Linked DNA regions of Drosophila melanogaster. Changing the gene in region 1 together with any one later gene gives a genetic interaction. Each region holds a gene or a part of one and is shown on either strand. Other genes may lie near its edges. The genes, in order: Mef2 and Him.

The links.
Region 2: of Mef2 (region 1) and Him, changing one suppresses a phenotype caused by changing the other (phenotypic suppression), as found in Drosophila melanogaster (one study listed by BioGRID).

Annotation. Positions count from the first base shown.
Region 1 is NT_033778.4:9,926,556-9,931,755, reverse strand, and holds the start of Mef2 (myocyte enhancer factor 2), read left to right. Parts: upstream 1-2,140; 5' UTR 2,141-2,856; intron 2,857-4,886; 5' UTR 4,887-5,200. UniProt on the Drosophila melanogaster protein: Transcription factor that could be a key player in early mesoderm differentiation and may be required for subsequent cell fate specifications within the somatic and visceral/heart mesodermal layers.
Region 2 is NC_004354.4:18,207,495-18,211,254, forward strand, and holds Him (holes in muscle), read left to right. Parts: upstream 1-1,932; 5' UTR 1,933-2,039; coding exon 2,040-2,324; intron 2,325-2,719; coding exon 2,720-3,013; 3' UTR 3,014-3,247; downstream 3,248-3,760.

The DNA.
Region 1 (5,200 bases):
GTGGAAGCGTTAAAAGTCACAAGGACACTGCAAACGGGAATCAGAATGGAAATGGAAATGGAAATGGGAATGGTAATGGGAGTGGAAGTGAGAAAGGGATCTTCGGATATACACACATGGATCGTTTGCTGCTGGGTTCGGTTCTCAAAATGCAACATTGTGGCGCCGCCGAGAGGCGAGGGCCATAAAACGGGTAACTTGGTCGCGCTGCACTTGGTATCGGTTATGCGTGATTTTTACAGAATCCATTCACTCGACGGGGCGGAGCAATATCTGCGGCATCTGGCATTCGCATATTACTCGGAAAGTCACGTTAAAGTTGCGTCCACTTAACTGCAACTGCAATATGGGCATTCCTTAAGATTTCACCTCCCTTAATGTCCTTTTGTCTGTGTTTTAACTATCACTCCAGTTATTAAATCGCAACTTACAGTAAACAAGAAAATCTTTTAATATATTTTCTTATTGATTTAAATGCCATATGGTAATGGCTAATCACTAAAATTCTCGCTATTGGAAATATTTTTATTATGTATAAATAGACGCAAAATCATTTCCTATATGGGTTAGAACTATAGATGGCTGGAAAGTAGCCACAGCTTTTATTTGCCTCCCAGATGTGGACTAATCACATACAACGTTCCCAATTTTCCTGCTTTTATAAAAGTCGATTTTTGTAATAAACTCTATTGGGATCAAGTTGGGGTACATGTATCCCTACTTTATTATCTTTTCGCCTACATAACCTGCATAATAGAGCGTGTTTAAGGTAAATAATATCTCGCTTAACGCAACAATAGACAGGGTCTGGGTCACAGGGCTTTGGATCCCACTTGGCTGGCTGGCGGTCCGATTCACAAATTAAGCCCCAACTTCAGCCATACAACTACTTTACCTCTGTCTGAATAGGCAATCATCAATCGAGCAGAAACAATGAATCGTTGGTTGCCGCACACCCTAGGATCCTACGGGTCCTACTCTTTGTCCCTTCCGATTCCTTCCTGTTTGTTTTGTGTACCCGCCAGCAGACGAATTACAGGATATGTTGTATGTTGTATCGCACAAAATTAGGTAACAAATGAAAAAAGGATTTACGCTTTATTTTTTCTGAATCAAGTTCAACATTCTAGTTTACGTTCACATCGGAGCTAAGAAGCTAAACAGCTGTCACAATTCCAAAGTTAATATAACCTATTAAAAATGAAATTAATTTTAATGATAGTTATATCATACTTCGCGTTTCTAAAAGGCGTAACCACAGCCAGTAAGTATGCCCCATCTTTTGTAACAGGGTATCGAGTATATACTTACCTTTTTTTCTACTGCCAAACGCAGGTCAACAAAGTTTTTATTAAGCTGCGTCGAAGGGGAAAACTAATGGTGGGTGGGTGTTTATAGAGAGGATCCAGTGGCAAGGACAAATAAATAAAATACACACAAAAAAAAAACCAGATAGTGGGCAAAGCGGGAGGGGAGAGGTCCTGGCAGGGCAGGGAGATACGGATACAAAGGAAAACGGAAACCAAAGCGATGTTTAGCAGGGGTGTAGTTAATGGGGGTGGTGAAGTGGGGGATAATTAACATTTATGGGAGGTTGCCAGAGCGGGACAACAAGCTCGGCGAGGGAACTAACTGTAACTGTTGCTGATTGATCAAGTGTGTGGGTGAGTGTGCGTGTGTGTGTGTCTGGCTGGGGCACAAACAAAAACCATATGTTTCTCGTTCGACTCCCGCACGCACTCACTCACAAACCGAATTACTCACTCACCCCCACCAGCCCCACACTCTAACCCCCCGCCACCTCTCGCTCACTCTTGCTTTCGTTGTGAGTAGGAACTCAAAGTCAGCGGCTGCGCACTCTCTCCGTCTCTCCCGCTCTCCGATTGCCCGGCAATGTATGTGTGCGATATTCTGTTACACAAAAAGGCAAAAACAAAAGGCACCGTTAGAAGGTGTGCGCGTGTGAGTGAGTTCACCACGAAACGAAAATCCTCACCGCCAGCCTACGTATACGTGTTCGTTGCTGGCTGTGCGTGTGTGTGTTAGTGTGCGACTGCGAGAGAGCCTGGCGCAGTGCAGCTGTGTGCGGGCGTATCTGTGTGTGCGTACTTGGCGTTACGACGTCAACGACGGCATATCCGTCAGTACGTTTGTACGCGTCCGCAGCGCCGCTTCTTCAGTTTTTCGGTTTTCGGGATTTCGAGATTTTGAGATTTCGATTCGATTCGATTTCGGCAGATCAGTTTGCGATCCGTTTGCGAGTTCGATATTTTCATTCCGAGCCAACGATCCAACGATCCGATTCCGCTAGCGATTCACAACAGATAGAGATCCTATATCGAACGCCGCGAGAAATTATGCTGGCCCGCTGCTCTCGCACTACGCGCAATAATTTATTTTTACTCCATATAAACAAATTCAACGTCTATTTCCAAAAATAAATGGCAACAATAATAAAAATAACAACAGCCGTCGGACAATTATAAGTTTTTATTTTTAACTTTTATTTGCGCCAACCGCGGCCGCGACATCCCCGCCCCCGCCTGCCCGGACTTTGTTTATATTTACAAAAAGCTAAAGCACACGACAAACACAACAGCAAACATATCACTGACTGCATTTCGCCCCGATGTTTATCGAACGAGCGGCGTAAACAAAGCCAGAATTCAAACAATAATTCAATTTGCATCTCAATTGCAAAGATTTTCGTGTGTGTGCTCGGAAACATTTGTGCAAACACCTCGCCAGCGACCTGACATCCCCAGAAAAGTTCAAAACTCGTCGGTTTCTATTGAGTAGTGTATTTTTGAGAACATTTTTTCGAGAAAACGGAAGCTCAGCTAAAAAGCGATTCATGTAAGTTTATCTACTGCAATGAGGAATGTTTTTGGTTTGAAAACTAGTTTTTAAAACCAAAGTACCTTTGCGAAATGGGTAGAAAGATTTTCATTCTTGTATTAAGAATAATTTTTCCTGTTTGTGATAACCATTTGACTTATATTTATGAGCGTCATAAAATCCAATTGAATGCCTCATTACATTATAAGTGATTTTCGGTTAGTCATACTTTTGAGACACATTGTTAAATTAATTATAAATTATGAATTATAAAACCTAATTTTGGTTATCATATCCACCTTTGCTCATTGAGCTATTATTCCGCCCAAAGGCTTAGTAATTATTTACAGATCATCGATGGGCTGTAAACCCCTCCTTTCATATGCCGATAGGGCAATTTGATTATATATAATTTACAATTACAAAAACACTGGCAGCCGGCATGTCGGGAACCAAATAAGCAAGTTACCCATGCACACTGACGTCATCGCTGAGCCAAACGTTGGGATTCCGAAGAAAAAAAAAAGAGATATCGGCCGGGTTTTCGAATTGTGCCTCGCTGTCTTGATTCCAGTTCAAACAGTTCCCTTTCAATTGATATCATTCGATGTTTCAATTTCTTTTCTTGCGATTTAATGCTGAGAGTAGCTGCCATACACTCGGACGGGCGAACACGCACACACAAATACTATATACGTTCCACTGATAAGCGATTTTCGTATCAATATTGAGGGCCCGCGAGAACCGTACTCCTCCGGCGAAGTTCAAATCCATTTCCCTGCTATCAAGTTCTTTTGCATGTAGTTTTTATGGCCGACCGACCGACCAACCGACTAACTGACTGATTGACTGGCTGGCTGGCTGGCTGGCTGATTGGCGAATTTGCTGATAATTGTCTGCACTTTGTTTCAGCCAGCAGCAAATGCACAGAGAATTATATTTTCTCTTATCTCGCCTCAGGCAGCTGGACATGCGTGCAATGCACTTTGACACCTACGCAGGATCATAAGGGGGGTCGCGTGGGAAGGGAGTAGGGGAATTTCGTTTCGATCCAGGGAGCAGTGGGTTCAAATAACAAACAAAGCCATTCGAAGGCGATAATCACCGCAGATTTGCCGTGGACTTAGCCACGGCGATCGCCGATAAACGATTACGGTCATTCGGCATTGCAGAGCCTAGATAACGGGACCCCACCTCCGATCACGTTCACGTTCGGACCATCATCACGACCATCATTAACCTCCGAGATCTTTAACACTATTTGGTGTAGTCACGTTTGGGTCGCGTTTGTATTTTAAGTGTTCCATCAATAGAGAAATTATAATATTATTTATTTATTTTCTTTTTTGTATTTTAAGTGTTCCATCAATAGAGAAATTATAATATTATTTATTTATTTTCTTTATTATTTCATTATTATTTATCTCATTCTATAACAATTTAGTTATTTCCAATACCTAAAGCTTCATAAGTTAAGCGAAAAAATAAATGTTTTAACTGTTTTTTTTTTTTGGATGCCTTTCAATTAGTTTTGAAATTCAAAAATGACACACGATTCTGAAAAACTGCAAGTAAAATAAAGAATACAATCCATGAAGGAAAACCCACAAACGACATCTTATCAGGTCAAAATAATTTGTTGGCAAATTTTCAACGAAAAATAGTTGAGTTACGTTTGTTGTTGGCGTTTTCGGTGCTTGATAAAAAATTCGAAATCAAAATTTGTTTTATTTGCTCGTGTTTTTTTTTTTTTGCGGCCACTATCTGCCATCGAGAGCGAGAGTCTTTCTTATCACACGTGCGCATGTGAAGGTGCCCACGCTCACTGACAAGCCAAATGAAGCACAATCTGGTCGATGTGTTGGTGTAGTTATTAAAAAAATAAATGTTCCTTTGCCATTTGCCGTGTTTGCGGCTCTCGAGTGTCTGTGATAATTATGGTTATTGCCGCCGCGCTCCCCCACATATATTGTATATAAAAATAAAAATAATAATAATTATTATTATTATAACGATTTCTTTCTGTTTGCGCCTGTGTTTTGGTTTAGCTCCCTCCCCCACACTCCGCCCGCTTTTGCGGCTGTGTAGGTGCTGGCGATAAGATAGAAGTGCTCTAGGTGTACTTCTAGGTGACTCGGGGCCCGAGAACTCAAATTTGTTCGACTACCTTAACATGAGACGCGTGTTTCGGGGCGAAAAACAAAAACCTTGGATTCTTTTGCTTTTGCTGGCATTTCTGCAATCGAAATTGTTGATAAACGCGGTGCAGGAAGAGAGCCAGATATCGCGGAGCCAATGCGATTGCTTGCAAAAATATTGGAAATCGAAGTTTGCCGATATTTCACTTGCTTCAAACAGGCAC
Region 2 (3,760 bases), on another chromosome or scaffold:
GTCGCACACGCGCAAGTCAGGCGCTCAAAAAGGGATCTTCGGAGGTACAGTGGGCAAAAGACTGTAAATAAATAATATAAATAAAATAATATTTAGCTCTATGTGTTTATATAATCTACAAAGTAGTTAACAAAAAATATAAAATGGATATAAAAATACATCTTATATATCCCTATAATAAGAAATAAATAATAATTTTAGTAAATTAATTTTGTTACACAAAGTACCTGTATTATTACCTCTTTTTTGTTGGTTGGTTCTTTTTTGATGTGGCCCCACTGTGCTCTCTTATCAGTGCGACAATCAGGCATTGCCTTTCCCCATCGGGGGATTCTAATTCCGTGGACGATGGGCCGAAACGCCTATAAAGTCGCTCATTAAAAATGTTTAATTATGGCCCATCTTGCATCTTGCACCGATGTGGATGGGGTTTGTCGGCAATGATTTACATTATAAAAATGCCCGTTATCTGAGCATTTTGTACGCTCCACTCCCTCTTCCCCCCTCCAAAAAAAAAAAAAACAGATATGTATATTCCCCGAGATATTCCCAAGCGGCCAAAAATAGACGCAAATTGTAACGCACTTGAAGTGCACTCTGAAACATCTTGAAGTCCAAATAAAATAGCAGAGAGACCCACAATAATATACGTTGATATACACATGTATATATGTATGTATGTACATAAAGGGCCAGGAGCAGGAACGTTAGGCATGCGGTGGTACGAGCACCGTGGTGCGAGCGAGAGCGCTGTGCTGCCTGAGGGAGAGGTAGCGAGTGGGTTGCATTGCGCACACAGAACATGTGAATGCAGAGTTCAAGTGCATGCCGTGACACAGACACGCACACACACACACGCACACACAGATGAGTAGCCGCTGCAAAGTGTTTTTTCCCAGGCGCTATTTATAATATGCATCCCGTCGCCGATCCGATCCGATCCAATCCAATCCGATTGGATCCCATCTTGCGGCACTACGATTATGACGCTCGACACGATGATGCATTCGCAGAGTTTCCCGATCGCAGAGTACCCTGTACTCGAGTAGTTTTTAGATGCAGTATTATTAAGTAGAAAATTGTAACCGTATAATATTCCATTATATTAAATATTTTTATAGCACTAAAGAAATAAAAGCCCATTTTATAATTTATATTACAAAAATACTTAACCATAGAAACTTATGATATGATACCAATATTTAAGTTCCAAAAAATGTAGAACATTTTTAAGTATATACTCGAAAATATTAATTTTCAAAATTGATATTCAAGAGATATTATAAAAAGATCCCCATTCTAAATATCTAACATCATGCCATGCTTTCTAATGAGTATAGTATACCCCTGCTACCCTGTCAATCCGCAAAACAGGCGCCGAAACATGCGGTTTCTCGCAGCAGACTGCCACGGGAAAAATTCGGTTCGAGATTTGGGAATGGATGTATGACGGAGCAGAAGGAGCAGGACCCGGATTTCGGATTTCGGAATGGATATGGAAATGAAGATGGAAATGGGACTTTGACTGCGCGACGGCCACATGCGCCGCTGGCGATGCCGCTGGATGTTGCATGTGGCAGCGGTCGGTGCAGCAGCGAAAGTGTTGCAGCTGTATGAGAGGGTCTATTTTTGGGGCGATTGTGCGGCGCTGGTGCTGCCACATGTGTTCTGTGTTGGGCTGCTAAAAGGCATTGTAATGAGAGCAGAAAATAGAATTGACTCCACTTGAGCAATGTCCCATAAAGCGGGAGTTTCGAGTTTGGCGCGCAATGTGCCGCACCAGCAAACGAACAAAAGAAAAAAAAAAAAAAAAAACACAGCCAGTAACACATGGGCCCACGAGTTATGTTTTATTTTTAATCCCACAAAGAGTCGATCTCCAAAACAAACCCGCAGAGAGCACATATAAAGAGACTCGGTGGACGAGTGGTTCGAAACAGTCTTCCGCCGCAGCTCGACGCGCTCGCATATCGGGAATATATAGATCGGAGATATCGCAGGACCCACAGCAGAGCAGAGCCGCAGAGCCACCAACCTCGATGGGCGTCATCTACAAGATACTGAAGCAGCAACGCAGCATGGATCTCAGCCTGAGCTCGGCCACCAGGTGCAAGGTGCAGGCGGCCATCAAGCAGCGCCAGCAGCAGCGCCGCCTTGAGGATCACATGGTGGAGGAGCGGGATCGGGATCGGGAGCGGGACCAGCAGCCGGATCAGGATCAGAACCAGGTCCAGAATCACATCGACAAGGATAAGGAGGAGCTGGCCGAGCAGCAATTACAGCAGCTGTGCAGATTTCTAGCCGAGAATGCGGCGCGAAAAAAGGTGAGTGCGGCAAATCCAACAACTAATTTGTGGATATGATTAAAAAAAAAAAATTATATAACAAATAACAGCTGTATAGTATACAGGCTTGTTTAAAGCTTTGCGAGTTATGTTCTTTTCCATCTTTCATTATATTTTTCACTTCGATTGAAGAGGATTCAATTTATTAAACCTTTTAAACCAAAGAACAAAAACATTAAACTATATTACACATTTAAGCAAATCACAATTTCAATTTAAGACTGTAGAACTTAGACTTCACTTGAAAAGCATTTTCATTCAAAAGTTAAACAAAAGCATAGTTAAAATTATTTTGATAGAAAATCATGTTAATTAGCATAAGTAAGAAAAACTTATTATCTAATTGAATATTTTTTCCAAAATTTCGCCATCAGCGTCAGCGTTTCAAGCTGCAGTACCAATGCAATCTGGCCATCGATCAGGATAACGATCAGGAGCAGATGCCGGAGAAGGAGCACTTTGCAGCGCCGCCGCACGAGATGGACCTCGAGTTCATAGAGCAGCTGCAGCAATCCTCGCCCGCCAAATCCCACGGAGCAACTGGGCAGGCGCCACGTGATAGCATCCTGCTGAAGATTCGCCACCAGATCTTCGAGAGAAAGCGGCAGAGGCAGCGCCAGTTGGCGGAGCTGGTGCAGCAGCGAATGGTGGTGTGGCGACCTTGGTAGCCGGATTCCCCCAAAACAAGGAGAAAAAGAGGGAGATAGCTAGAAAGTTAGAAAGAGAGAGAGAGAGAAATCCGGGAACTGAGACTAGTCTAAGGGTTAGCTTTAAGGACGCATTCGGTATTATTCCTGCTGCTGTGTGATGATCGCGCTGCTCTTCCATTTTCCCACGCCTCTGCAAACCGACTTTATTTTTTTTCCTGTTAATAAATAGTTAAGTAATAAAGATTTTTTTTGAAAATAATACCACCACTTCTGTTTTCCATTTACCCTCAGCAATTCGAAATGAAAGTCTGCAGATGCGTTTCTAAAGATTTTTATTCAATGAACTTTGACACCAATTAAAATTGTTTATTCGTATCGGGTATTTGAATGCTGTTTATGGTTAGTTATGCATTGCATTGAATGGTTTATTCGTTAAACTCCATCTGCCTTCGTTCACACTGTTCTGACTCTATTTATGGATATTCTTAGTTCGCCTTCGTGATGCCTGTTCTGATTTCCGGGTTTTTGGTGTCCTAAATGCCTCAAGTTGCCTGACGTTTCACATTTCATATTTCATATATAATTTTCTTCATTTTTTTTTCAATTCAATCTTCTAATTTCCTAAACATTAATTTCTTTCTTGGCTTTGAGCTGAGCTCTGGAAAACGAAAACAAAAGGATCTACGTTCATTCATTGTGATGATTCACCTTTGAGTAGCTGCCACATGCAAGGATATTCGTCAATATCCAAGCAAGTATGTTAAT